Linked DNA regions of Oryctolagus cuniculus. The protein of the gene in region 1 purifies or fractionates together with the protein of each later gene. This does not show direct contact. Links are inferred from orthologs where the notes say so. Each region holds a gene or a part of one and is shown in the gene's direction. Other genes may lie near its edges.

The links.
Region 2: the proteins of SIRT1 (region 1) and RECQL4 purify together in Homo sapiens (affinity purification with mass spectrometry; 3 studies listed by BioGRID). This does not show direct contact. The link is inferred for Oryctolagus cuniculus from reciprocal best matches to the Homo sapiens genes SIRT1 and RECQL4.
Region 3: the proteins of SIRT1 (region 1) and EZH2 purify together in Homo sapiens (affinity purification with western blotting; 3 studies listed by BioGRID and IntAct, with this or other methods). This does not show direct contact. The link is inferred for Oryctolagus cuniculus from reciprocal best matches to the Homo sapiens genes SIRT1 and EZH2.
Region 4: the proteins of SIRT1 (region 1) and ZEB1 purify together in Homo sapiens (affinity purification with western blotting; 4 studies listed by BioGRID, with this or other methods). This does not show direct contact. The link is inferred for Oryctolagus cuniculus from reciprocal best matches to the Homo sapiens genes SIRT1 and ZEB1.
Region 5: the proteins of SIRT1 (region 1) and HIC1 purify together in Homo sapiens (affinity purification with western blotting; 4 studies listed by BioGRID and IntAct, with this or other methods). This does not show direct contact. The link is inferred for Oryctolagus cuniculus from reciprocal best matches to the Homo sapiens genes SIRT1 and HIC1.
Region 6: the proteins of SIRT1 (region 1) and FOXO3 purify together in Homo sapiens (affinity purification with western blotting; 4 studies listed by BioGRID and IntAct, with this or other methods). This does not show direct contact. The link is inferred for Oryctolagus cuniculus from reciprocal best matches to the Homo sapiens genes SIRT1 and FOXO3.
Region 7: the proteins of SIRT1 (region 1) and ECT2 purify together in Homo sapiens (affinity purification with mass spectrometry; 3 studies listed by BioGRID). This does not show direct contact. The link is inferred for Oryctolagus cuniculus from reciprocal best matches to the Homo sapiens genes SIRT1 and ECT2.

The regions. Positions count from the first base shown.
Region 1 is NC_091446.1:59,832,961-59,837,011, forward strand, and holds the start of SIRT1 (NAD-dependent protein deacetylase sirtuin-1), read left to right. Parts: upstream 1-1,251; 5' UTR 1,252-1,327; coding exon 1,328-1,760; intron 1,761-2,675; exon of another isoform or gene 2,676-2,743; intron 2,744-3,165; coding exon 3,166-3,282; intron 3,283-4,051. UniProt on the Homo sapiens protein: NAD-dependent protein deacetylase that links transcriptional regulation directly to intracellular energetics and participates in the coordination of several separated cellular functions such as cell cycle, response to DNA damage, metabolism, apoptosis and autophagy.
Region 2 is NC_091437.1:168,206,635-168,210,276, reverse strand, and holds the end of RECQL4 (ATP-dependent DNA helicase Q4), read left to right. Parts: coding exon 1-95; intron 96-169; coding exon 170-349; intron 350-417; coding exon 418-559; intron 560-645; coding exon 646-896; intron 897-963; coding exon 964-1,255; intron 1,256-1,331; coding exon 1,332-1,461; intron 1,462-1,549; coding exon 1,550-1,719; intron 1,720-1,794; coding exon 1,795-1,975; intron 1,976-2,046; coding exon 2,047-2,206; intron 2,207-2,321; coding exon 2,322-2,430; intron 2,431-2,512; coding exon 2,513-2,637; 3' UTR 2,638-2,780; coding exon of another isoform or gene 2,781-2,954; 3' UTR 2,955-3,030; coding exon of another isoform or gene 3,031-3,140; 3' UTR 3,141-3,142; downstream 3,143-3,642. Other genes in the region: MFSD3 (major facilitator superfamily domain-containing protein 3), read right to left, coding at 2,781-2,954, 3,031-3,140, 3,208-3,332, 3,419-3,566. UniProt on the Homo sapiens protein: An ATP-dependent DNA helicase which unwinds dsDNA with a 3'-overhang in a 3'-5' direction. Does not unwind more than 18 bp of dsDNA. May modulate chromosome segregation. The N-terminal domain (residues 1-54) binds DNA Y-shaped DNA better than ss- or dsDNA.
Region 3 is NC_091434.1:174,760,348-174,763,847, forward strand, and holds part of EZH2 (histone-lysine N-methyltransferase EZH2), read left to right. Parts: coding exon 1-65; intron 66-600; coding exon 601-695; intron 696-2,315; coding exon 2,316-2,356; intron 2,357-2,798; coding exon 2,799-2,924; intron 2,925-3,500. UniProt on the Homo sapiens protein: Polycomb group (PcG) protein. Catalytic subunit of the PRC2/EED-EZH2 complex, which methylates 'Lys-9' (H3K9me) and 'Lys-27' (H3K27me) of histone H3, leading to transcriptional repression of the affected target gene.
Region 4 is NC_091444.1:102,062,863-102,066,313, forward strand, and holds part of ZEB1 (zinc finger E-box-binding homeobox 1), read left to right. Parts: intron 1-1,080; coding exon 1,081-1,261; intron 1,262-3,451. UniProt on the Homo sapiens protein: Acts as a transcriptional repressor. Inhibits interleukin-2 (IL-2) gene expression. Enhances or represses the promoter activity of the ATP1A1 gene depending on the quantity of cDNA and on the cell type.
Region 5 is NC_091448.1:47,537,658-47,541,908, forward strand, and holds the start of HIC1 (hypermethylated in cancer 1 protein), read left to right. Parts: upstream 1-1,451; 5' UTR 1,452-1,705; coding exon 1,706-1,742; intron 1,743-2,069; coding exon 2,070-4,249; 3' UTR 4,250-4,251. UniProt on the Homo sapiens protein: Transcriptional repressor. Recognizes and binds to the consensus sequence '5-[CG]NG[CG]GGGCA[CA]CC-3'. May act as a tumor suppressor. Involved in development of head, face, limbs and ventral body wall.
Region 6 is NC_091436.1:62,749,352-62,752,851, reverse strand, and holds part of FOXO3 (forkhead box protein O3), read left to right. Parts: intron 1-1,401; coding exon 1,402-2,802; 3' UTR 2,803-2,837; intron 2,838-3,500. UniProt on the Homo sapiens protein: Transcriptional activator that recognizes and binds to the DNA sequence 5'-[AG]TAAA[TC]A-3' and regulates different processes, such as apoptosis and autophagy.
Region 7 is NC_091435.1:107,482,258-107,486,193, reverse strand, and holds the start of ECT2 (protein ECT2), read left to right. Parts: upstream 1-1,136; 5' UTR 1,137-1,285; intron 1,286-3,147; 5' UTR 3,148-3,249; intron 3,250-3,936. UniProt on the Homo sapiens protein: Guanine nucleotide exchange factor (GEF) that catalyzes the exchange of GDP for GTP. Promotes guanine nucleotide exchange on the Rho family members of small GTPases, like RHOA, RHOC, RAC1 and CDC42.

The DNA.
Region 1 (4,051 bases):
ATTCTGTTTAATTTGAAGTGCAAACATTTTTGAAACTAGTAAATGATATCTCAAAAATGAGTTTCCAGCCTTCTTGGTTCTTTTTGAAGCTAAAGCAACAGAGCTTGAGTTGCTTGCCTAAGGTCATGCAGGTATCGGTGCAATATATCCAGGACCCATAGTCAGTTTAAGGAATGGTGTGCTATGAACGCTGAGAAGTTCTTTAAGTGACTAGAAATGCTGCAGGCAGATGCCACGCAAAGCATAGGTCCTTAGTTATGGCTGTAAAGTAACAATTTTCCAGGGCAAGTGGAAAGTGGTGGAGTTTCCAGTGGGGAAGCAACTCTGGTTTTTGAACTACTATGTACCTTTTAAATATAGCTAGCTTATTTAATTTTCATAACCCTGCAAAATAGGTATTATGAGAAAAAATTGGATTTAGAAAAGGCTAACTTGCTCGGTATACAAGAATCCCAAATTTAAAGCAAACCCAGAGATGGGGAGTGGCCGAGCCTTGTTCTCGACTGCCCGACTTGACCCAATGCAATCACTACACCTGAGAACACCGGGGCCCACAGGTAGGAACGCACACACATTTGAGTACAAGTTACGGACCGAAAGCTGATAGGCTGACTCCCAAGTTCCCAGGTCAAAGGACCTAGGACGGGGACACACGCCTGTGAGGATCTGACAATCTCGCCCCACAAGTGAGGGCGACAGGGCACAAGAGCCAATCACTGAAGGGGAGGGCCAAGCAAAGGAGCTGAAGAAGGGCTGTCAGAATGGCGCGGGGGCGGCAGAGCGCCTTGTTCTTTCCTCCCCACTGACAAAAGCCCAACGGCTACCCAGCGTTATTTCAAGGAGCGAAGCTTCAGTCCTCATCGCCTCTCAGGAGCCCAACTTTAACCCTTAGCTAAAAATGCAGACAGGGCTAGGCAGGGAAGGTGTGCGCTGGAGGCAGAAGTGGAAACTCCGTGAACCAAAACGTGTGCCTTCCGGACGGTCCTGAGTTCAGGACGCTTCCAAACAGAAGTTCAAAAGCGGCCGCCGAGCGAGCGTGCAAGACACGCCCGCCACTGAGGGGAGGGGCCTCAGGCCGCCCGAGCCGCGTTTCCTCCCCGCCCGAGCAGAGAGGGAGACGCCCGGGCCTCCGCCCGCCACGTGACCGGCCGTGTTGTGGTTCGGCCCGCGTGGGTGGCGGGAGCGGCGGGAGGGCGGGGGCGGGGGCGGAGGCAGGTCACGTGACGGGGTTTAAATCTCCCGCAGCCGGAGCCGCGGGGGCGCCAGTGCCGCGCGTCGAGCGGGAGCAGAGGAGGCGAGGAAGGAGGGCCAGAGAGGCAGTTGGAAGATGGCGGACGAGGCGGCGCTCGCCCTTCAGCCTGGCGGCTCCCCGTCGGCTGCGGCGGCCGAGAGGGAGGCCGCTTCGCCGCCTGCTGGAGAGCCGCTCCGCAAGAGGCCGCGGAGAGACGGCCCTGGCCTCGGGTGGAGCCCGGGCGAGTCCGGCGGGCCGGCCCCCGAGCGTGAGGTGCCGGCGGCGGCGGCGGCGGCGGCCGGGAGCTGCCCGGCTGTGGCGGCGGCGCTGTGGCGGGAGGCGGAGGCGGCGACGGCGACGGGCGGGGAGCGAGAGGCCCAGGCTATGGTAGCGGCCGGAGGAGACAATGGGCCTGGCCTGCAGGGCCTACCCCGGGAGCCGCCGCCGGCCGACGATTTCTGCGAAGACGAAGACGACGACGACGAGGGCGAAGAGGAGGAAGAGGCGGCGGCGGGGATTGGGTACAGAGGTGCGCAGGGCGCGGGCGGCCGGGACTGCGCATCCCCCTCCTCCTCCTCTCGGGGCCCCTCCTAGTGTCCGGTTGGGGGGGGGGTCTCTAGGGCGGGCCGGGGGTTCCGGGCTGGCTCGCGGGATCCTCTCCCCATGGCGGCCCTCCGTTCAGCCGCGCTGCTCCCGGGCTGCCGGCCGTGCGGTGGGGAGCTGCGCGCGGACTTGCTCCTTGTCTTCCCTCGGTCCGCGGCCCCTCTCGGCGGCCTTGCGGCGTTCGACGCAGCCGCCGGGTGTGGACGCTGTCTCCCTTGGCTTTACAAATAAGTTTTCTCTCTTCTAGTATTGCTTTCGTTGAACTTACTTTGCTCTCCTCCTCCTTCACCAGCACACTTAAAGTCTGCAACTTTCGGCCGTCCCGTTGGTCGACCTTTCGCAGTTGCCCGTGCAAACTGACACCTGTGCCATTTATTTATTTATTTGACGATCTGTACTTTTAAACTTGTAGTTATAAATTTGGAAAGAGCAAAGCGGCTTTCTGAGGTCTTAACCTGAAAACTTTAAAAGCATAGTTTCTAAAGCAGTCTTTTGTGATGCGTTTAGTGGGGATCGCATAATGAAGTACTTTCAGAGTGCTTTATATTAATATTGTGGTTGAGTCGTGTTCTGAAGTGGTTTTAAGCTAAATGGGATTCTTCTGTATATATGTGATCCTGAAGCAGGTTGACATGTTTTTGACATACTGAAGTACATGTCTTGTCCTTGAGGGTTTCATAGTTTGACTTGAGAAGTTTCTGTGTCTGTCAGTACTGTGTCGGAACTAGCCAGTGGAGCATTTAGTAGCCACATGGAAAAAAAAAAATGTGTAGTGTATACATCAGGGACTGCACAGGTGAAGCAGCTCCTGATTTCAAGAAACAAAATTCCTTCCTCCTTCAGGTAAATTTGGCAAATATTAAATTTCTTTGTGATTCAGTCTGCTGAACTAAGGAACCATCATAGTATTTAGAAGCACAATAAATGGGAGAAACAGATAATGCAGAAATAGCTAAGTATGTTTAGTAGTATATAAAAGCCCAGAGTGCAGGCAGCCTTGGTTTTCACAACGTTGGTGGGTAAATTTTGACAACTTGCATGTACTCCTTTGCTTGTATGATTGCTAAGCTCAGTCTATAGAGACTACCTCTTATTCTGTTTTGACTTTTTAAAAAGTAGACTCAGATTTTTGATAGACTGAAGCTTTGAATTCTGCAAAGGATCTCTTGAGGATCAGAGAACTGCTCTTGTGAATGTTGACCACCTTTACACATGCGGGATGTATGTTAAATGCTTTAGTCATTAAAAATGGTTGCTTTGTGACCACTGATGAGTCTTCTTGCATTTCAGATGCAGGCTGTCAGCAGCCTTAATGTTGATTTCTTTTGCAGATAATCTCTTGTTCGGTGATGAAATTATCACTAATGGCTTTCACTCATGTGAAAGCGATGACGACGACAGAGCCTCACATGCAAGCTCTAGTGACTGGACTCCAAGGCCACGGATAGGTATGGTTCAGAGCTGTGCCCCTCCCCCCATTTTCCCTCTGTCCCTTTAATAGATTGAAGTTTTTAGGTACATGGAGAGATTTAATAACAACTTATATTTCTAAGAAAAATCTAGTGCTCTTAAGTACAAAAATTGTACGTATTTATGGGGTACCATTTGATGTTTTGACACATTATAGATTGTGTAACATCTAAATTAGAGTAAACATCCCTGTCTCATACATCATCTTGTTATTGTGAAATCATTCAAAATCTTTTTTGCTATTTTTTTTAAAGAAAAATAAAGGGGTAAGCATAGAGGTTAATATGCTAGTTGGGTCTCCTGGATCCTATATCTGAGTGCCTACTTTGAAGTCCTGCTTTGCTACTGATTCCAGCTTCTTGGTAATGGACAGTGTTGGAGTTGGTGGATAGTGGTTCCAGTGGCTGGGTTCCTACTACCCCTGTAAAAGACTTGGATTGAGTTCTTGACTCCTGGCTTCTGCGTGGCCCAGCCCAGCTATTGTGGCTGTTTGGGGACTGAAACGGCAGAGGGGAGCTGTCACTCACATCCGCTTTCTTGCTCTCTTGTGCTCTCACTCCACCTTTTTAAATAAAGAACATAATTTTTTAAAAATTAAATAAAACACACAATGCATTTTCTTTTTTTTTTTTTTTTTAAGACTTATTTACTTACTTGAAAGTCGGAGTTACACAGAGACGGAGAGAGGTCTTCCATCCGCTGGTTTACTCCCCAGATAGCTGCAACAACTGGAGCTGTGCCGATCCG
Region 2 (3,642 bases), on another chromosome or scaffold:
AGCTGCCTCCTGTGGCCTTCGCGTGCATCGACGAGGCTCACTGCCTGTCCCAGTGGTCCCACAACTTCCGGCCCTGCTACCTGCGCGTCTGCAAGGTGAGCCGCGGACGGGTCTGGGTGGGTGAGCGGACCAGGGCCCACCTGGGCTCAGTGACCCACCTCTGGCACAGGTGCTTCGGGAACGCATGGGCGTGCGCTGTTTCCTGGGCCTCACAGCCACCGCCACACGGAGCACTGCCCGTGACGTGGCCCAGCACCTGGGCGTGGCTGAGGAGCTGGGCCTCGGCGGGCCGGTTGCCATCCCCCCGAATCTGCATCTCTCCGTGTCCATGGACAGGGACCCCGAGCAGGTGGGTGTGCACAGCCCAGGGGCCCCGGGGCCCCTGCAGGCGGCCGCTCTGACACTGCCCCTCGGCAGGCTGTGGTGACGCTACTGCAGGGCGAGCGCTTCCGGGCGCTGGATTCCATCATCGTGTACTGCATCCGGCGCGAGGACACGGAGCGGATCGCCGCGCTCCTGCGAACCTGCCTGCGTGGGGCTCCGGGCCTGGGGCCCGCAGGTGAGGCAGGCAGGGCTGGGGCCCCTGAGGACTCCGCCTGGGCACCCATGCCTTCGTGCCAGCGGCTGCCTGTCTGCCTTCTCCAGAGGCCGTGGCCCAAGCCTACCACGCCGGCATGCTGAGCCAGGAGCGGCGGCGCGTGCAGCGGGCGTTCATGCAGGGCCAGCTGCGCGTGGTGGTGGCCACGGTGGCCTTCGGGATGGGGCTGGACCGGCCGGATGTGCGGGCCGTGCTGCACCTGGGGCTGCCCCCGAGCGTCGAGAGCTACGTGCAGGCCGTGGGCCGGGCTGGGCGTGACGGGCAGCCTGCCCACTGCCACCTCTTCCTGCAGCCCCAGGTTGGTCCCCCTCCTGGCCGCGGGGGTGTCCGCCACCCTGGCCGCTCCTCACGACTGTCCCCTGCAGGGTGAAGACCTCCGGGAGCTGCGCAGACACGTGCACGCTGACGGCACGGACTTCCTGGCCGTGAAGAAGCTGGTGCAGTGGGCGTTTGCGCCCTGCACCTGCTCCCAGCTGCTCCCAGCCCAGGAGGGAGGTGTGGGCGGCGAGAGGCCCGCGGCAGGCCCCCCCTCCCAGGAGGCCCAGCGGCACCACGGCCAGCAGGCAGCCCCCGCGTCCGGCAGGAGAGCCTGCTCTGGTCACGAGCGGCTGCTCCCAGCACAGCAGACAGTGCAGGCACTGGACATGCCGGAGGAGGGTGAGGGACCCGGAGGAGGGCCTGGGGTGTGAGGAGGGCCCCATCCTGTGTGCCCTGAGCCCTGCTCTGGCCCTAGCCATAGAGACTCTGCTGTGTTACCTGGAGCTGCACCCTCGGCACTGGCTGGAGCTGCTGCCCGCCGCCCACACCCGCTGCCATCTGCGCTGCCCTGGGGGCCCCGCTCAGCTCCAGGCCCTTGCCCATAGGTGAGCACCCCCCCCCCAGGCTGGGGACGGGGACAGAGGAAGGGGCTGCTGGTCTGATGTGTGCTCCCACCCCCCACCCCGGGCACAGGTGTCCCCCTCTGGCTGCACACTTCGCCCAGTGGTCACCTGAGGACCCCAGGCACAGCCGCAGTTCTGTGGAGTTGGACATGCTGGAGCTGGTGGACGCGAGCGGCTGGGAGCTGGCCTCTGTGCAGCGGGCTCTCCGCCAGCTGCAGTGGGACCCAGAGTCCAGGAGAGGTGAGCCCAGCCCCCCCAGCCCAGCCCAGCCCAGGCCCTGCTGCCTGCCAGCTTGGGACGCTGCGCTTTTGGCAGGTGCACCCAGGGGCACAGGTGTGCTGGTGGAGTTCAAGGAGCCGGCCTTCCACCTGCGGAGCCCCGGCGACCTGAGGGCGGAGGACTTGGACCAGATCTGCGACTTCCTGTATGGCTGTGTGCAGGCCCGTGAGCGCAAGGCCCTGGCTCGCCTGTGCCAGACCTTCCAGGCCTTTCGCAGGTGGGAGAGAGTGGCCAGAGCTGGGGACGGGCCAGCTGTGCAGCCCGGTTCTGACAGGCTTGTCTCTGCAGCGTGGCCTTCCCCAGCTGCGGGCCCTGCCTGGAGCAGGTGGACGAGGAGCGCAGCGCCCGGCTCAAGGCCCTGCTCGGCCGCTACTTTGAGGAAGAAGGGGGAGAGGCCGAGGAGCTGGGACTTGAGGACCAGCAGGCACCGGAGCTGGGGCAGGCCAGAGTGAGTCCAGATTGGGTGAGCCTGGCTCCAGGTTCCCCAGGCCACCCAGGGCCTTGGCTGTGTGAGCCACGGTGCCAGGGGGCCTGGGGAGACTGACGTGCCCGCCCGCCCGCAGCTGCAGGACTGGGAGGAGCAGATCCGCCGCGACATCCGCCTGCTCCTGTCCCTGCGGCCCGAGGAGAGGTTCTCGGGCAGGACCCTGGCCCGCATCTTCCACGGCATCGGTGAGGGCGCAGGGCCAGCCTAGGGCCGGGGGCTGGGGCGGAGGCGGCCCCCAGCTCAGCTCCGCACGCTCCTCCCTTGCAGGAAGCCCCTGCTACCCCGCCCAGGTGTACGGGCAGGACCAGCGCTTCTGGAGGAAGTATCTGCACCTGGACTTCCACGGGCTGGTGCGCCTGGCCACAGAGGAGCTCCTGCCGCCGTGCCGCTGACTGCCGGGGGGGGGGGGGGGCACAGCACACAGCATGGACAAGCACGGGGGCGGGTGGACAGGCAGGCTGCAAAGTGCAGAATAAAAGGCACCCAACACGTCCAGACACAGCACTCGGGCCACGGCACGCCCTGCTTTATTGGCTCAGGCCAGCGTGCTGGGGGCCAGGCCAAGGTCCAGCAGGGGCAGGGCCGACAGTGCGAGCAGCAGAGAGAAGCAGAGCCGCAGGCCCAGGCCGTCGGCCAGGGCTCCAGACAGGGCCCCCAGCAGCAGCTTCCCGAGCAGCTCCAGCGTGGCCAGGAGGCTGTAGTGCGTGGCCTGTGGTGGGGGCGGGGTCAGAGCCTGCACAGCTGCCCAGCCAGCGGCCCCGGGCGCCCCCACCTCACGCCCTCACCTGCAGGGCCCTGGGCGCCCGCTGACTGCAGCGCATCATCACGGTGAAGGTGACGGTGGTGACCAGGCCCCCCAGGAAGTGCTGCAGGCACAGACTCAGCAAGGCTGCACCTGGGGGGGGGGGACTGGTCACAGGGCCCAGGCTCCCAGCCCTCCCTCCCCGAGGCCAGCCCCTTACCTCTCAGGACGGAGGCAGGGCCCACGCTGGCATCTGGGGAGTCCAAGTGGAAGAGCAGGACGGTCTGGCAGGCCAGGCCCCCGAGGCGGAGCCGCAGCAGTGACCTCAGCAGGGGCAGCGGCCGCCTGGGACGGGGCGGGGGTGGGGACATGGAGCCACTGGGGGGTGGGGAGCAGGTGGCGGGGGTGGGGGGGCTGTCCAGGGCGCTCACCAGTGTCTGGCTAGCAGGGCCCCGGCCAGGGCAGAGCCAGCGATGGAGCAGGCCACGGCGCCCACGCCGTTCCAGAGCCCCAGCTCGGGGGCGGAGGCGCCGCGGTCCAGCAGGAGGAGGGGCAGCAGGCTGCCGGCGCCCTGCTCGCCTGCGGGAGACCCTGAGCTGCAGCAGCCCACACCCCACAGGGAGCCGTGCTGCCGCCTGACTTGAGGCTTCACTCA
Region 3 (3,500 bases), on another chromosome or scaffold:
TTGGCACTTACTATGATAATTTCTGTGCCATTGCTAGGTTAATTGGGACCAAAACATGTAGACAGGTAAGCATAACTGTTCAATATTATTACAAGAGCTCCAAATATAGATATAAGTATGTACTGATCCAAAAGGCATAGTGACAGAGAGGGAGAAACAGAGAGCTCTTCAGTCCACAGGTTCACTCCCCAAATGCCGACAACACTGGGGTTGATCCAGGCTGAACGCAGGAGTTGGAACTCCATGTGGGTGACAAGGACCCAAGTTCTTGGGCTGTTATCCCATGCCTTCCCAGGCATATTAGCAGAAGCTGGATTGGAAGTGGAACAGCCGGGTCTCAAACCAGGCACTCTGATAGGGGATGTGGACATCCCAAGTGGTGGCTTAATTTGCTACGCCACAGTGTTCACCCCAGCATCACTACACTTGACCAGAAAATAATTGCAGCTACTCTCTACTTCCTGAAGGTAGGGACAATTATTTCTCCTGTATCCCTAGCATTTAGCAGTGTCAAGAAGAGAGAAGTCTTTTTGGTATGAATGAGTATAAAAATGATTTGCTTCAAAAACTATTCTCATGACTGTGACTGCCTCTTGTCAGGTGTATGAGTTTAGAGTCAAAGAATCTAGTATCATAGCTCCAGCTCCCGCTGAGGATGTCGATACCCCTCCAAGAAAGAAGAAAAGGAAACACCGGTAAGTCTGCTGTGAGGCTGTTTAGAGAAGTCAAAATAGGTGTTGCAGGCAAGGCACTTTATAAAGGCAGTGATCAGTTTCTACTTGGGCTGTTATACAACAACTTCAGACTGTCTTCAAAAACATATTTGTGAAATCGTGTTTCCACTCGCAATTGCTGTTTTTCTGTAAGAATACAACAGCCATCAGTACATGTGGAATGATCATAAAAGTTCTGGTTACCATGTGTATTGGTTATCAAAAACATAAATGATTTAGTAGTTGTTTTTTTTTTTCCAGTAAAGGCTACATAAATAGTCCCGTTTTAGCATTTTTTTTGACAGGCAGAGTGGACAGTGAGAGAGAGAGAGACAGAGAGAAAGGTCTTCCTTTTCCGTTGGTTCACCCCCCAATGGCCGCTGCGGCTGGCACACTGTGGCTAGCGCACTGTGCTGATCCAAAGCCAGGAGCCAGGTGCTTCTCCTGGTCTCCCATGGGGTGCAGGGCCAAGCACTTGGGCCATCCTCTACTGCACTCCCGGGCCACAGCAGAGAGCTGGACTGGAAGATGAGCAGCCGGGACAGAATCCGGTGCCCTGACTGGGACTAGAACCCGGGGTGCCGTTGCCGCAGGCGTAGGATTACCCTATTGAGCCGCGGCGCCGGCCCCTTTTTAGCATTTTTTTAGGAAATGTTTTGATAGGTGTTTCTACTGTGAGCTCCAGGTTAGTTTTAGGGAGTGTATCTTTTTTTTTTTTAATTAATTTTATTTGAGAGGCAGAGAAAGAGACAGATGGCTCCCATCTTGTGGTTCATTCCCCAAATGACCTACAACAGCAGGGAATTTGCCAGGCCAAAGCAAGAAGCTGGGAACTCAATCCTGGTCTCCCACATGACTGGCAGAAACCCAACTACTTGAGCCATCACTGCTGCTCTGTTGGCAGGAAACTAGAATCAGGCGCACAGATATGGTACAAAAGCATCTTAACCACTAGGCCAAATGCTTGCCTCCTTTAAAAGAGAAGCATAGTTGAGTGGCTAAGGAAACACATACATATGCCTAAAAACTACAGATAGGCTCTTTGTGTATTTCTTTAATAAAGGTCAAGTCATCCTAATTGAGAACTTAAATTGTAAGATTTTCTCACAGGAATTTAGGTTTTAGTAGATTTTTCTGAAGTTTTGGTTGAATTTCTGACCGTGTAGCTCAGCTAGATTATTAATGATGCTTGAAATAAGAGATAGTATCAGCATAATTCACATCAGAATAAATCTGTAGATACAGACACTTGCTGCTACACAAAGTATATCTGCTTATAAGTCCTGAGCAGGTGATGTGGATGAGCATAGAAAGGGATGCCACCAGCCTGGCTTCTCCGCACACCTTAGGCAGCCTGAGTGATGAGGCTGTTTCGGAGTTGCTCTGAACTGATGGCAAATAGTAGCTGGATAGTGTGTGCCTTTTCGGTTGTAACCTGGCTTTAAAGCACTGCTGTGTTAATGGCACAGATTGAGCCATCGAAGCAGCTGTCTGTTGGATTTGTAGCTGTGACCCTGTGCCCTAGCTTTATGTGAAGTTTGTATTTTTTTTCTTTGTGTGTGTGTGTGTTGTTTTTGTTTTTGTTTTTGTTTTTTTTTGCAGGTTGTGGGCAGCACACTGCAGAAAGATACAACTGAAAAAGGGTTAGCATCTTTCCTTCACCTTCATTATTAGCTTTAAATGTCTGTTCTCATTTGACTTAGAATAGTGACTGCATTAGAGTTGGGGTTGCTGTGATAGAATTCATTTTTGTACATCAAACCTGTATAAATGGAGGGTGTCTCTTGATGAATGGCCAAGCAGTGCTCTTTGTAAAGAGACAGCTGATTGGATGGAGTGAGTCACTTAATTGGTTAAAGGAGAAGCAGTTTGGAAAAGATGCACTTTGAGACTTAGTGGCAAAGCTCCTGAGCACTTTGGGGTGGGAGGTTGCTTTTGCCATCATTTTTAAACAGGACTGTGTGTAACATTGTAAATACAGTACAGCTCCAAAGGTGGTAGGGAAGAGTGTACTCTTGTTCATTGTGTGTGATCCTTTCCCCTCTTCCTGGATTAATGGGCCTGCCTGCTGTTATCTTTATTCAGATGGCTCCTCTAACCATGTTTACAACTATCAACCATGTGATCATCCACGGCAGCCTTGTGACAGTTCGTGCCCTTGTGTGATAGCACAAAATTTTTGTGAAAAGTTTTGTCAGTGTAGTTCAGAGTGTAAGTATTTGTTGCTTTGATGCAATTGCATGAGAACTAAGGAGACCTTTGGCCAGCAATTAAAAATAGTGATTTAAATCAGAACCAAAGGACACGGGAGTGGCTCCCTTGTTGTTTACTTAGGAAATCTTATCTTACAGTCATTTATTGAGTGTCATACCTGGCACTGTGCTGGTGTCCATTCATTCTCCTGGGTAACGTGTATGTGTGTGTGCAGGACAGACCAAATTGCATTAAAGGAACTTAATCTTTCTTTTGTCTCTGATCATTTATATTAAATCATAATAAAGTTGGCACAGAATGAAAGGGGAATCTAGTAGTTACCAAATAATTTTGAGGCACCAGAGATTGTTAGGAGGATTTCAGTTTTCAGTAAAGAAATACAGCATAAGGCTAATACCTTTTTATAATTGTTTAATGAAGCTGCACACAAAGCTGGGATGTTAAGGAAGTGATTAGAACTGTGAGCTTTTAGAATGGTCGTGGACCATGGATATTTTGTAGTCTCAACCCTTCTTTCATACCTATTTTATAATCATAGAACCTTATATACCATTTACCAATACAAACTGGAGA
Region 4 (3,451 bases), on another chromosome or scaffold:
TAAGTAGGTTCAGCTATAACAATTTCAATATCCTGTTCAGATGTGTGTTTGCTGCTTTTGTTCTCCCTTAAATATCGCTACTGACTTAGTTTCCTGTCATTGTGATAACTCTTGTACAACCCATGAATTCCTCTAGATTTTTCGTGTATAGAGCACTTTCTAGGCATTTGAGTACAAAAACATTTGTGCAGTCTTAGGACTAGATGAAATAGCAATGAAAGCAGTCAGGTTTTTTTAGCACCCGTTGGCAGCTCAGAAATGACCCCAGCAAATGACTGCGCCTCTCCTACCTTAGCAAAGCTGTCAGAAATGTGGAAAGCATTGGACTTGCAGAAAGGTTAGCAGTTTAGAGGCAGTAAAACGGGAGGCTAGAGAAAAGACCCAAGCTCTTAGAGGACCTATTCCTCATGTCCCTGCAGGATGATTCCATCAGCAGAGCCTCCTGCCAGAACTGCCTTCCTGAGATTGCCTGCATTTTGTTTTCATTCTACTAGAATTCTAAAGATTCATTTTGACTACCAAGTATTCCTGCTTAAAAATGTGGACCTGCTTGCATTTTTTTTTCCAGTCTGCCCCGTAAAACAGTGGTAGAGCAGAGCTCCTTCCTTCCGATGAGACAAATGTTAGCTCCAAGAATCTAAGGACCACTTTTTAAAAGTCTAAATTCTTGCCTAGTGAAAGCCAGAATGAAAAACAAAGGCGAATAATGCAGTCATATGTTACCGATTAATTCATACACTTTTCAAACTTTCTGCAAATTTTTCACACAAAAAGCTTCACGTGGAACCAAGTAAATTTTGTTAGTACACACTGTACATTCTTTTTATACCCTTTCCTTCCGGTGCCAGGTATTATGTTTTTGCTGTAGTTTTGTCTGTATCAGGCCCACCTCATTTTTATCCACAGCAACCCCCTCTTGTCGTCTTCCCTTGCTGTAGGAACTGAGCCACGGTGACAAGCACTGTGCTTGCTTTGGTCAAGTTGTTGAAATTATAAATCAGTTAATCTTTAATCTATGCTTTTATTTGCATCCCTTGTTTCTATGTTAAGCTGTATTTTCTTATTCTCGTCTTCCTTTAGGATGAAAGGCAAGACACTAGCTCAGAAGGGGTGTCAAACGTCGAGGATCAGAATGACTCTGATTCTACGCCACCCAAAAAGAAAATGCGAAAGACAGAAAATGGAATGTATGCTTGTGATCTGTGTGATAAGATATTCCAGAAGAGTAGCTCATTATTGAGACACAAATATGAACACACAGGTATGTCAGCGAACACACACATATTGGCCTTTCTAAAAGTGCCTGTGCTATGATGTACTGAAAAAGTGCTAGGTCAAAAAGTGCTAATGTTCTTTGAATTAATGGTCTTTCTGTTTTTCACTTCTCTGATCTTGCCACATTAGCTGTCCACCTGCTTCCACCTGGTGTATTTAAGTTCTGTGCCTTTATTTTTTTTTTCCTGTCTTTAAATGACTTGGTATCCCTTTAACTCATCACAGTGTTTATTCTGTCCGCACTGATTTCATGCAAGATCATGCTGTATAAATAAGCATACAGTACCCATTAGTGGAAAACAGATCAGCGGGCTAACGCAGTGAGACAGGATCTGGCCCTATAAGAGAAAGCGCTGCTTCCTAAGTGTGCAGCGTGCCCAGCATCAGAAGGGTTCAGGTAAGCCTACTGTGTGTAGGAAGAACCTCTGTCTAGATCCTAGGGCCCCTTCCAACCCTGAGGTTCCACAATTCTTCCACAGACTAGACACTCTTTAGGATAACTCAGAGATGGACAACAGGAGCTAAGAATGTTTTCTTCGCGTTTGATAGCCCCTGAAAGCGATGGAGACTCACGACGTGAAGTCGCAGGAAGGCGGGGTGTCAGCATGCGGTGAATGGCGCTGTTGGCGCAGAGCCACGCCCATCTGTCCCCCGTGTCTGCCGGCTTCCCTCGCAGGCCTCACGGGCAGAGCGCGGTGTGTCACGGAGCCCACTTGGCACGCACAGCCGCACGTGTTGACCGTCTGGCTCTTCCAGAAAACACTTGCCGACTCCTGGCCCCACTCCCTCCGTCCTGCGGCCTGCTAGCGAAGTTCGGCGGCGGTCCCCGGGAGGGCAGGAGAGCCCCGACAAGTGTTTACACTCGCTGTGGCGTGAACACGCCTGCCAGGCTGACTCCAGGCTCCAGGAGTCGCGGGCTTCCGGACAGTGCAGAATCTGAGAAAGGAAGGCGCCCCAGACGCGCCAGCCAGGCACAGGGCCATCGAGTCCCTCCACTCCCGCCTCCCTCTGAGAGACAGGGTCGCTGTCCCAGGCACAGGGCGATCCAGTCCCTCCACTCCCGCCTCCCTCTGTGAGAGACGGGGTCGCTGTCCCAGGCACAGGGCGATCCAGTCCCTCCACTCCCGCCTCCCTCTGAGAGAGACGGGGTCGCTGTCCCAGGCACAGGGCGATCGAGTCCCTCCACTCCTGTCTCCCTCTGAGAGACGGGGTCGCTGTCCTAGGCACAGGGCGATCCAGTCCCTCCTCCCGCCTCCCTCTGAGAGACGGGGTCGCTGTCCCAGGCACAGGGCTATGGCGGTCCCTCCACTCCCGCCTCCCTCTGAGAGACAGGGTCGCTGTCCCAGGCACAGGGCGATCCAGTCCCTCCACTCCCGCCTCCCTCTGAGAGAGACGGGGTCGCTGTCCCAGGCACAGGGCGATCCAGTCCCTCCATTCCCGCCTCCCTCTGTGAGAGACACGGTCGCTGTCCCAGACACAGGGCGATCCAGTCCCTCCATTCCCGCCTCCCTCTGAGAGACGGGGTCGCTGTCCCAGGCACAGGGTGATTGAGTCCCTCCACTCCCGCCTCCCTCTGAGAGACGGGGTCGCTGTCCCAGGCACAGGGCGATCCAGTCCCTCCACTCCCGCCTCCCTCTGAGAGACTGAGAGACGGGGTCGCTGTCCCAGGCACAGGGCGATCCAGTCCCTCCATTCCCGCCTCCCTCTGAGAGACGGGGTCGCTGTCCCAGGCACAGGGCTATGGCGGTCCCTCCTCCCGCCTCCCGCTCCTGCTGGCCACACTCACCTTTCACATCCTTAGCAACTATGCTCATGCACCTCTTAGAACAGGTACGGAACTCTTCCCTCCCTCAGCCCTCAGCGACACCGGGCGATTCCCGGAGCACCCCGGCACGCTTCTCAGAACACCTTGAGACTGGGGATCCCGGCCTCAGCCAGGCGATGAGGCAGCCCGGTCCCCGCTGGCCCCCGGGGGGCCGCCACCTCTCCAGGAGCGGGGACGCGGTGTCCACCCCGCCTCGCGGCACCCCTGCCCCGGGAGCCGTCCCACGGGAGCCGCACCCCAGCCCCACGCCTCCACCCCCGGCTCCGTCCCACGGGAGCCGCACCCCTGCCCCACACCTCCACCCCGGCTCCGTCCCACGGGAGCCGCACCCCTGCCCCACGCCTCCACCCC
Region 5 (4,251 bases), on another chromosome or scaffold:
CTGATGTGCAAACCTGATCTAAGGACCTGAGTGAGGGTTGGTATGCTGCGTATGTTGGGTAGGCCCGAGTGGACAGTCCCTTACAGAGATGTCTAAGGAGAGGCACCCAGAACCTGTCTATCTTCGTCTGGTTTAGGATTTCCACAACCTCCCTCCCACCACCTACTGCCGCCAAGAGTCCCCTCTTCCGCAGGCAGGAATTTTCTGGATCGGGGCTCAGTTCAAGGCGCCATGGTTGGGAGGGGCTCGCAGGTCTGGGGTCCAGGGCCCCAGGTGGGCACATCTGGGAGCGCGAACCTGCGGCTGGATCCCCCGCCCAGCTGGGCATCGGGAGAGGCGCCCGCCCAGGTGTGCAGAAGGGTAGCCGCGAGCCTGCCTGTAGAGCCCTGCGCAGCCGCGAGGTGGCGCCGCAGCCGCAGCACCGCCCGCCGGCCCGGGCCGCTCCAGATAAGAGTGTGCGGAAAGCGCGGCGGGGCTGAGACGCGACCAGGACGCGGGGAGGACGGAGCAGCAGGACAGACCGACCGGGGGCCCGGCGGGCGGAGGGCAGCGCAGCGCAGCCACGTCCCCCCCTGGATCCGCCGACAGCCGGGCCCGGGGCTTCCGACATGCCCCCCAGGTGGGTCCTGGAGCTGGGGACCGGGAAGGACAGGGGACCCGGGACAGCCCGGTCGTCGCGCGGCTGGCCGCCTTGGGCGCATCCTCTGGCGTGGGCGCCCCAACGCGACTAGCGGCTGGCGCTCGGGGGTCTGGCTGTCGCCCCTGGAGGACTGGGGACCGCCGGGCCGCTGCTGCGCGCCGGGTTCACGCTGGGGTCAACGGCCCGGGGCCGGCTCTGCCCGCACATGGGCTGGAAAGGCGAGGGGAAGGGAAGGGAAGGGGAGCTGGCGGGCGGGGCTGCAGGGGCGCTGCCCTGGCACAGCTCGGCGCCTGGCAGCGGGGTCTGGTGGGGCGCGGGCTAGGAGCTGCCACCGCCGCGGGGAGGGCCGCTCGCCGGGCTCCGGCCGCAGGTAACCAGCTGCGAGGCCCTGCGGGCCAGGCAGGGAGCAGGGTGGGGCGGGCGAGGAAGCTCAGGGCTCGGGCCCCACGGCCGCCAGACCGCCGCCGAAATTGGGGGCCGAGAGCAAAAAACCTGGGAGCGGAGGGACCGGGGCCGGCGCGCTCGTCCCGCCCTGTCTGAAGTTGGGAAAGTTTCCCCCCAAGTTTGGGGCGGCAGAGTTCCGGGGGAGCAGGGGACCGGGGAGCTGCGGAGGGAGGCGCCGGGTCCGCAAACGTCGGGCCGAGGCCGGGCCTGGGGCCGGAACGCGGGTGGGGCGCAGGCCAGGGTCAGGGCCACAGCCGGCTGCGCGCCGTGCCCGCCCGGGGCGCTGCCCCCTCCCTCCCCTGGGAGCTGCGTGGCTCCCCCCTCCCCCCCACCTGCTTCCTGCCTCAGCCTCCTGCCCCGATATAACGCCCTCCCCGCGCCGGGGCCCGGCCTTCGCGCTCTGCCCGCCACGGCGGCCGCTGCCTCCTCTCCCCGCGCCGCGGCCGCTGCCCGGGCCCCGAGCGAGGGCCTGACAGCCCCCGGCCGGGGCGGCGCCACGGCGGGGCCCCGCGCTCCCGTGCTCCGTATCACTTCCCCAAGCTGGGGCAACTTCTCCCGAGGCGGGAGGCGCTTCTCGCTCGGCTCCCCTTCTCCCCACTTGAGCAAACTTCTGGGCCCTGAATGACTTTTCCTGAAGCGGACATTTTACTCAAATCGGGTAACTGTCTCCGAAAGGGTCACCTCGCCTGAACAGTTTTTTTCTCCTGGGAAGCACCCAGTCCGTGTGCCCAGCAGCGCCGGGGGCTCCGGGGCGCGCACAGCCCCGGCCCGGCCGCCTCTCCACCCGCTGGGCGCTCTGCTCCGCTCCTCCTCTTGCATCGGCCCAGGCGGCCTAGGCGCCCACTCCCGGAGGCCGCTGGTCCTCCGCCCGTGCCCAGGCCGCGGTGCTGCATGCCCCTGCTCAGCTGAGGGGAAGGGGAAGGGGAAGTGCCGGCGGCCGGGTCTCGCTGCGGGCCTCTTACCCGGCTGCTGTGTGTCCCCGCAGGAGAGTGTGCTGGGCAGACGATGCTGGACACGATGGAGGCGCCCGGCCACTCGAGGCAGCTGCTGCTGCAGCTCAACAGCCAGCGCACCAAGGGCTTCTTGTGCGACGTGATCATCGTGGTGCAGAACGCCCTCTTCCGCGCGCACAAGAACGTGCTGGCGGCCAGCAGCGCCTACCTCAAGTCCCTGGTGGTGCACGACAACCTGCTGAACCTGGACCATGACATGGTGAGCCCGGCCGTGTTCCGCCTGGTGCTGGACTTCATCTACACCGGCCGCCTGGCTGACGGCGCGGAGGCGGCGGCGGCGGCGGCCGTGGCCCCCGGGGCCGAGCCGAGCCTGGGCGCCGTGCTGGCCGCCGCCAGCTACCTGCAGATCCCCGATCTTGTGGCGCTGTGCAAGAAGCGCCTCAAGCGCCACGGCAAGTACTGCCACCTGCGGGGCGGCGGCAGCGGCGGCGGCGGCTACGCGCCCTACGGGCGGCCGGGCCGGGGCCTCAGGGCCGCCACGCCCGTCATCCAGGCCTGCTACTCCTCCCCGGCCGGGCCGCCGCCGCCGCCGCCACCGCCGCAGCCGCCCACCGCCGAGCCGTCGTCGGGCCCAGAGGCCGGGGTCAACACGCACTGCGCCGAGCTGTACGCCTCGGGCCCCGGCCCCGCCGCTGCGCTCTGCGCCCCGGAGCGTCGCTGCTCCCCGCTCTGCGGCCTGGACCTGTCCAAGAAAAGCCCGCCCGGCTCCGCGGCCCCCGAGAGGCCGCTGAGTGAGCGCGAGCTGCCCCCGCGCCCAGACAGCCCGCCCAGTGCCGGTCCTGCCGCCTATAAGGAGCCGCCGCTTGCCCTGCCGCCGCTGCCGCCGCTGGCCTTTCAGAAGCTGGAGGAGGCCGCGCCGCCTCCGGACCCGTTCCGCGGCGGCGTCAGCCCGGGACCCGAGCCCCCCGGCCGCCCCGACGGGTCCAGCCTTCTCTACCGCTGGATGAAGCACGAGCCAGGCCTGGGTAGCTACGGTGACGAGCTGGTCCGCGAGCGCGGCTCCCCCGGCGAGCGCTGCGAGGAGCGCGGCGGGGATGGGGCTGCCTCGCCCGCGGGGCCCCCACTCGGCCTGGTGCCGCCACCGCGCTACCCGGGCAGCCTGGACGGGCCAGGCCCCGGCGGCGACGGCGACGACTACAAGAGCAGCAGTGAGGAGACTGGCAGCAGCGAGGACCCCAGCCCGCCCGGAGGCCACCTGGAGGGCTACCCGTGTCCGCACCTGGCGTACGGCGAGCCGGAGAGCTTCGGGGACAACCTGTACGTTTGCATCCCTTGCGGCAAGGGGTTCCCCAGCTCTGAGCAGCTGAATGCGCACGTGGAGGCACACGTGGAGGAGGAGGAGGCGCTGTATGGCCGGGCCGAGGCAGCCGACGTGGCCGCCGGGGCGGCGGGCCTAGGGCCCCCTTTTGGCGGCGGCGGGGACAAGGTGGCCGGGGCTCCTGGCGGCCTGGGAGAGCTGCTGCGGCCATACCGCTGCGCATCCTGCGACAAGAGCTACAAGGACCCCGCCACGCTGCGGCAGCACGAGAAGACACACTGGCTGACACGGCCCTATCCATGCACCATCTGCGGGAAAAAGTTCACGCAGCGCGGGACCATGACGCGCCACATGCGCAGCCACCTGGGCCTCAAGCCTTTCGCGTGCGACGCATGCGGCATGCGCTTCACGCGCCAGTACCGCCTCACGGAGCACATGCGCATCCACTCGGGCGAGAAGCCCTACGAGTGCCAGGTGTGCGGCGGCAAGTTCGCACAGCAACGCAACCTCATCAGCCATATGAAGATGCACGCCGTGGGTGGCGCGGCCGGCGCAGCCGGGGCGCTGGCGGGCCTAGGGGGGCTGCCTGGTGTCCCGGGCCCGGACGGCAAGGGCAAGCTGGATTTCCCCGAGGGCGTCTTCGCCGTAGCCCGCCTCACGGCCGAGCAGCTGAGCCTGAAGCAGCAGGACAAGGCGGCCGCTGCCGAGCTGCTGGCGCAGACCACGCACTTCCTGCACGACCCCAAGGTGGCGCTCGAGAGCCTCTACCCGCTGGCCAAGTTCACCGCGGAGCTGGGCCTCAGCCCGGACAAGGCGGCGGAGGTGCTGAGCCAGGGCGCTCACCTGGCCGCCGGGCCCGACGGTCGGACCATCGACCGTTTCTCTCCTACCTAGAG
Region 6 (3,500 bases), on another chromosome or scaffold:
TTATAAGGGCGGTAGGAACATTGTGGCTTCCTAGCGTGACTGGCTTCAGAAGTGTATTATCATCCATCGCCCTTACGTCATCCCTGTCAGGGAGGGGTGGTTGGGAGATGATTGTGACCATAATGAAGACGGGCACCGCAGCTGCGGCAGACAGATAAGCGATTTGTTCAGGGTCACATGGTTGGTCAGCGGCAGAGACGGGACTGAATCTGGGTCATCCGTCTCCACTGGGTGAGTCCACCATGTCGGGAGGAGGATGCTTGCAAGATGGGTGCAGCCATTAGAGTTGTGAGGGTGTTTTACCCTCCTGTGTTTTTAAAATCATAAACCTTTCATTTTAGAATAGTTTTACGTCTGCAAAAGTAGAGTGGCCAAGCTGCTGTGGAGTTCCCACATACCCAACATCGCACGGTCCCCTGTTGTTAACCTCTTACAGGATGGCACACTTGTCTCAACTGTTACTACAGGTCCCTTTCCTGTCCCAGAGCCTCAAGTGTCCCACAGTCCACACCACTGCATCTGGAGCCGCCCCTCCTGTCTCCTCAGGCAGCTCTTGGCCGTGACCGTTTTGAGGAGCACTGAACATACATTTTGTGAATGCTCCTCAGTTGAGGTCTTGCTCATGAGTAGACGGGGCCTGTGGGTTTTGGAAGCAAGACCACAGAGGTCAATACCATTTTCACCACGTCCCATCAAAGGCGCACGTGTGCTGTCAACAGGGTGCTGAGGCTGTGTGCGCAGGCCTCTCCGCTGTCAGTCCCCTTCCCCCACCCCCGTTCATATGGTACTCTGGGAGGAGCTGCTGAGCTCAGCCCATGGTGCTTTGCAGCGGGAGTGCAGCGGGAGACTTGCCTACCTTTTGTTGGCCCAACAAGTTCTGCTGGGTGTCACGTAACAAGGCGTGAAGTTGTGGCATGCTGAGATGGAGTGGTAGAGAGGGTGGGTAAAAATTTCGCACCAGTTCTCAACTCATGGAAGTGGTTAGGAAGAGGTGGCTGCTGCCCCTGGGTGCCTGGAGGAGGGGAGCAGAAGAGAAGCTAAGAGCCACCCAGGGGATGGGTTACCTTAAGGAGCCAGAGGGTGGTTGCAAAGTGCAGGGAGGAAGTGGTGTGCTCATAAATTACAAGTGGGAACCCCAGAATAGGAAATAGAGTGAAAGCTAGGAACTGGGGGGAGCAGCAGCTTTGCTCCGCAACCGTCTGTCCTTCTCCAGGATGGGAAGCCTTCCGTTTGATGTTGTTTTGGAGAGTGGTGCGGCTGTTGGTCTTCTCAGTTAAGCTTTTTAAGCCCCTGGTGTGAGAAGCGGCTTTTGCAAATAAGGAGTCTGCTGGGCTGGGGGTTCTGAGCCCTCAGTTCTGGACCGACCTGGCTCACATTCTGCGTTTTCCTTCTCCTCTGCAGAACTCCATCCGACACAACCTGTCGCTGCACAGTCGGTTCATGCGGGTGCAGAACGAGGGGACGGGCAAGAGCTCATGGTGGATCATCAACCCCGATGGGGGCAAGAGCGGGAAGGCGCCCCGGCGGCGGGCCGTTTCCATGGACAACAGCAACAAGTACACCAAGAGCCGTGGCCGCGCCGCCAAGAAGAAGGCGGCCCTGCAGACGGCACCCGAGGCGGCCGACGACAGCCCCTCCCAACTGGCCAAGTGGCCCGGCAGCCCCACGTCGCGCAGCAGCGACGAGCTGGACGCCTGGACGGACTTCCGCTCGCGCACCAACTCCAACGCCAGCACGGTTAGCGGCCGCCTGTCGCCCATCCTGGCGAGCACAGAGCTTAATGAGGTCCAGGACGACGATGCTCCGCTCTCCCCGATGCTGTACAGCAGCTCCGCCAGCCTGTCGCCTTCTGCGAGCAAGCCGTGCGCCGTGGAGCTGCCGCGGCTCACCGACATGGCGGGCACCATGAACCTGAACGACGGGCTGGCTGACAACCTCATGGACGACCTGCTGGACAACATCCCCCTGCCGTCCTCCCAGCCGTCACCCCCCGGGACGCTCATGCAGCGGAGCTCCAGCTTCCCCTACGCCGCCAAGGGCTCCGGCCTGGGCTCTCCGACCGGCTCCTTTAACAGCACGGTGTTCGGGCCGTCGTCTCTGAACTCCCTGCGCCAGTCCCCCATGCAGACCATCCAGGAGAACAAGCCAGCCACTTTCTCTTCCATGTCGCACTACGGCAGCCAGACACTCCAAGACCTGCTCACTTCAGACTCGCTCAGCCACAGCGACGTCATGATGACCCAGTCGGACCCCTTGATGTCTCAGGCCAGCACCGCTGTGTCTGCCCAGAACTCCCGCCGGCACGTGATGCTGCGCAATGACCCGATGATGTCCTTTGCTGCCCAGCCTAACCAGGGGAGTTTGGTCAATCAGAACTTGCTCCACCACCAGCACCAGACCCAGGGCGCTCTCGGTGGCAGCCGTGCCTTGTCGAATTCCGTCAGCAGCATGGGCTTGAGTGACTCCAGCAGCCTCGGGTCAGCCAAACACCAGCAGCCGTCTCCCGTCAGCCAGTCTATGCAAACCCTCTCGGACTCGCTCTCAGGCTCCTCCTTGTACTCAGCTAGTGCAAACCTTCCCGTCATGGGCCACGAGAAGTTCCCCAGCGACTTGGACCTGGACATGTTCAATGGGAGCTTGGAATGTGACATGGAGTCCATTATCCGTAGTGAACTCATGGACGCGGACGGGTTGGATTTTAACTTTGACTCCCTCATCTCCACACAGAACGTTGTTGGTTTGAACGTGGGGAGCTTCACTGGTGCTAAGCAGGCCTCATCTCAGAGCTGGGTGCCGGGCTGAAGGACCGCTGAGGCAAGGGGAAGTGGGCAAAGCAGGTCAGTGCCCAGTGCTTTGGTGGAGGTGATGGGCGGGGTGGGGGTGGGGGTGCCTGGGGGGAAGCCTGTCTTCTGTTTGCCTTGAACTTTACTCCATCTGGAGGCCCTCTCAAAGAGTCATCTGTTAAACCACACAGGGCGGTCCCCACAGCAACTCATAGGGACCCCTCCCCATGGTTTGCGGAGCTCAGAAACTTGCCTGCTAGTGAAAGCGCATACCATGGAGACACCTCACTCCTTGTATCCGTCCGTCCCGCTGGCCTAGGACACAGTCCCTCTACTTGATGGGTGGATGCATGAAAACAGAAGACAAGGGAGAGGAAGCTGGTGGGAGGCTTAGGCCATCCTTTAGGGTTAAAGACATGCAGCCAAAGGATCTTCTCAGAAAGATGCTCAGGTGTAGCACTGCTGTTCTCAGTCTTTGCTGTTATGGATTCTTCCTCTCTTTTTTCTGGTACAGTCATGATGTCCGGGTGCTTCTTTCTGTAGGATGTGGATTTCTGGATTCTTTCATATACAAAGGTTTCAATCAGAAGAAAGAGATGTCGGATCATTCTCATCATAGTGCTCAGAATCCTTAGTGCTCAGGCTCTAAGCATTTATGAAAACAGAAGAATTAAGCTGAAATCACAAGTTTCTGTGAGGGACATTTACTCACGGGCT
Region 7 (3,936 bases), on another chromosome or scaffold:
ATTATAAGGTAGGGCAGATTAAATATTAATAAGCAAGAAAACCAGCAATAATCACATTGCCTCATTCATTTTATGGGTTGCGCTGCAAACTAAGGCATTCTAATGTTGCCTGAGAAAATCAGAGGGAGGAAAACCCGGTAGATTTTCACAACCTGTCTGAGCTATTCTTAAGTGTTCCATTCCAAAGTACAAGTTTTTCTCCTCTGATTGGATTTCGGATTCTGGCAACGAATTCCCCTTTCTTCTTTCACTTAAATCAGCAATCAGATGAGAATCTCTCGGAGGAGGCCTGTTTTTCTCTAGATTGTGTGATATGGCATCATACTCAGAAAATGAACAAAATAAACTGCTTTCATCTTAGCAATACTAATCACTGGAGAAACCTGAATTTTGGCTAGACTTTATACAGTACAAACGTTCCCACAGCGGGGGTGGGGTGCAGCGAGGAAGCAAGGCACGATGGTTTCAGGAGCTTCTAGAATCTCGTTGCACATTTTAAATCTTCTCAAATGCAAGCTTGCTTTTCTTAAAAGCTCCAGGAACAGTAAGAAGTTTTTTTTTTTTTTTTTTTAAATTCCCCCCAATCTTGCCTAGACCAGAGTTCAGTTTCGCATACAGCAAGGTTTAAGTAGGAGGCTGCTTGCTGATTTAAGTTTGCCAGGTTCTGTCCTGGGCCTTGCCACACGCCAACACAACTGCCAAGTCAAAATCGCTTAATCCATTCCTCAAGCAGAAAGCATACCGGCAGCTCCTAGGGACCAGAAGGAAAAGTTCATCTGGGCGGCACTGATTTAAAGGATCTGATGGAGTTTTTTCAAAACCAAGTTGGGGACTGGGGTACGGAGAACCTACTCAAACTTTCCTCAGGAAATCGGATGTTTACCGAGTAAACAAGCAGTAGCCACAGAAACACCTGCTACTCCCGGAGAGCCTTCGGACGCCACCACCGCCACCTCCTGGCGACATCCGGGCATTTCTCTACAAACTCCTGACGTCTGGGCGTCAGAGCCGTTGGGTTTATTTGAAACATACGTACAACCAATCAATCGGCGCTCGCAGGGAGGTGGGCGGAGAGCAGCGACCAATCGCCGTCCCCCTGCAGGCTCCGGCCTATGGGAAGGAGGTTGACATCACGCGCCAATCGGCATGGCTCTTAGAGAGAGCGGCTCGCTTTTTGAATTGGCTGTGGCGGCCGGCGGCGAGGAATGGCGGTATCGGTGTGAGGGGTCTGCGTGTGAAGAGGTGGAATTGCCAGGGCGTTTTCGGAGCGTGGAGAGGACCTGAGGTGAGGTCTGGGGAGGGGGAAGCGGGCGGGTATCTCCGGAGCTGTGGCCTCCTTTGCCAGCGGGCTCCATCCCCTCCCCGGTGACCGCGGATTCCGGAGCGCCCAGCCCTGGCTTCCTGGCTCTGGTTCAGCGGGGCTGTGGCGGGTGGGAGAGCCTGGAGTCCCGAGATTGCTGGGCATCTTCCCGGCTCTCGCGGTCGGATCTCCTTTCCGGAAGAGCGTTTGTGGGCGAAGGCGGGGAGCTGGAAGGGATTTTGGTGAGCCAGGCAGACCTCTGCGGCTGGGGCCTGGCAGCTGCAGCCGCGGGCGCCTTATCGCCAGAATTTAGTGATTTCACGCTAGGATTCTTCCTTGGCTTCCTCTGTGCAGGAAATTGAGATTTTTGCAAGGGCAAGCCGGGCAAGCCCTCTCCTTCCCTTCCTAGCCCCAGATGTCTGTGTGGCATAGGGGTTAAAAGCGCAGCCTCTGGAAGCAGCCGGGCTCTAGTCCTGGCCTTAGCATTTACTGTGACTTAGGGGGCGTCACTTCCCCTCTCTGTTTCTAGGTTTCTCTACCTAGAAAATAGTAGTGCCTACCTCTCAGGATCGCTGCCAAGATTAAATAAGTGCAAGTAGAAGGTTTAGGGCAGTGTTTAACACCAGCTGACATATCGAGTATCGGATTTTGGTCTTTCACCTTGGAAGATGATTTTCTAAAAAAAAAAAAAAATTAAGTAAAAGGAAAACTAAACTGGTCATTAGTTTAAACTTGAGAGGAAAAGGGTGCATATGTTATAGCTTATTTAGTCAGAGGCTCTTTATCTGTTCTTGGATGAGAAGTAAGCTGTATGGGTTTATAAGTGCGGATCCCATTGTGTTTATTTTAAAAGCTCTGCAATACATGAATATGAGAAAAAGTGATTAATGTATTTGTAATTGGACTATATGTATCATCTTACCATGTAGCTCTTTTTTCTCTGTAAGTTGAAACCGTTTTAGTAATAAATTGATCATATATAGTAAGAAACAATTTTAATTATTACTTATTTTGATGGTTTTTAAAGTGGTATTTTAAAATATTTTTTAAATCTCTAATTAGCACGTGATTGACACATATTTATGGGGTACAGAGTACTATTTCATTACAAGTATACAATATGTAATGGTCACATCAGGGCCATTGGTATACTTATCACCTCAAACATTTATCATCTCCTTGTACTGGGAATGGTCAAAATCCTCTCTACTATGTTGAACTATACAATTAATTGTTGTCAACCATAGTTACCCTGTGTTAATGCTATAGAGAATTAAAAGTTATTCCTGCTATGCAACTGCAATAAATCACATTTTTTATTTATTAAAATTTCCCTCCTTCTATCCTTAAAGCAGCTTAGTTTTTCTCTTGACTTTTTAAAAATAAATTGTTACGCATACATTGAATGAAAACGTACTTAGAGCCTCTTCTGTTTTATTGGAGATGATTAAGTATAGGAGACTTAAAAGAATAATGAGAGCTGAGGATTTAGTTGTAAATTGTCATTGATTGTAAGTACTGTAAATGACAACTTTTGGAACAGTTCTTTGGGATAGCCTTGGATTAATGATTGATGACATGGATGTTAAGACAATAAGAAAAATCTATGTTGTGAATATTAAATAAAAATGAATAACTATTTGCCACTCATTTTAAGATATTGTCTCTTCAGTGTTTACCACAAGTGAACTTGAGTTGTGCTTCCATATCTGCATTACCCATGTAGAAACTGAGGCTTAACTCACCAAGTGTAGAGCTGAGACAGGAGCAGAATTACCTGACTTTGAGGTCTACTGCCTGGTATCATCATCCAGAAATGATGCTGATGTCTTACCATTTTTCCACAGGTTACAGTTTACACTAGTTGCTAAGAATCTGGAGGAAGATATTTGTATTTATTATTCTGAAGAAGGAAGAAAGGGTAAAGTAGATCGCATATGTACTTTCAGGTAAGGGTAGGGCTTCCTCTCTCTATTTGTCTGATATTAGAAATCTACTTCAAGATAATCGACTCACATAAAAATGCAAGTTTGAACTGGTGAAATCCTATCAACCTTTTTCTTTATGCCCTACTTGCCCAACTTTTCAACCTCTTAAGTCCTAGAAATCTTGAAAAAAAGGATTTGTTTTTCACAGTCCAGAGTTATATTGGCAAAAGCCCATGCATAATTGTCTTAACAAATTTTTACAGCAGAGATGTTTCTAAAACCATATAAAGTATGGGTAAGGAAGCACAAATAAGGGAGCAGTTCGATTATACCTGAGAGGTTCAGAGATCCACAGAAGACGAATTAAGAGTGGTAGATTAGGGGTTGGAAGACATGCTTGGTGGAGAGCTGAGCACTATTAAATGCAAGTATTTGCAAAGTAGCTGGGATTTAAGTTTGACAAATGCTGAGAAATTCATTGTTGGCAGCAATGTAGATTGCGTGTACATTGGGGGAGTTACAGGTGATGAACCTGAGTAGGTAGGCTGGGACTTTATTGTCAGTTTGATGGTGAATTTATATAGGGAGGGGTACCCATGGAAGTTGTTAGGCAAAGTGATATGATCATGTTTTTTTTGTGACCCATACCTATGAAAACTCTCTGAAGAGTGATTTCTGAAGAAGCTGATGATAAAGTTGGGGCTGTTG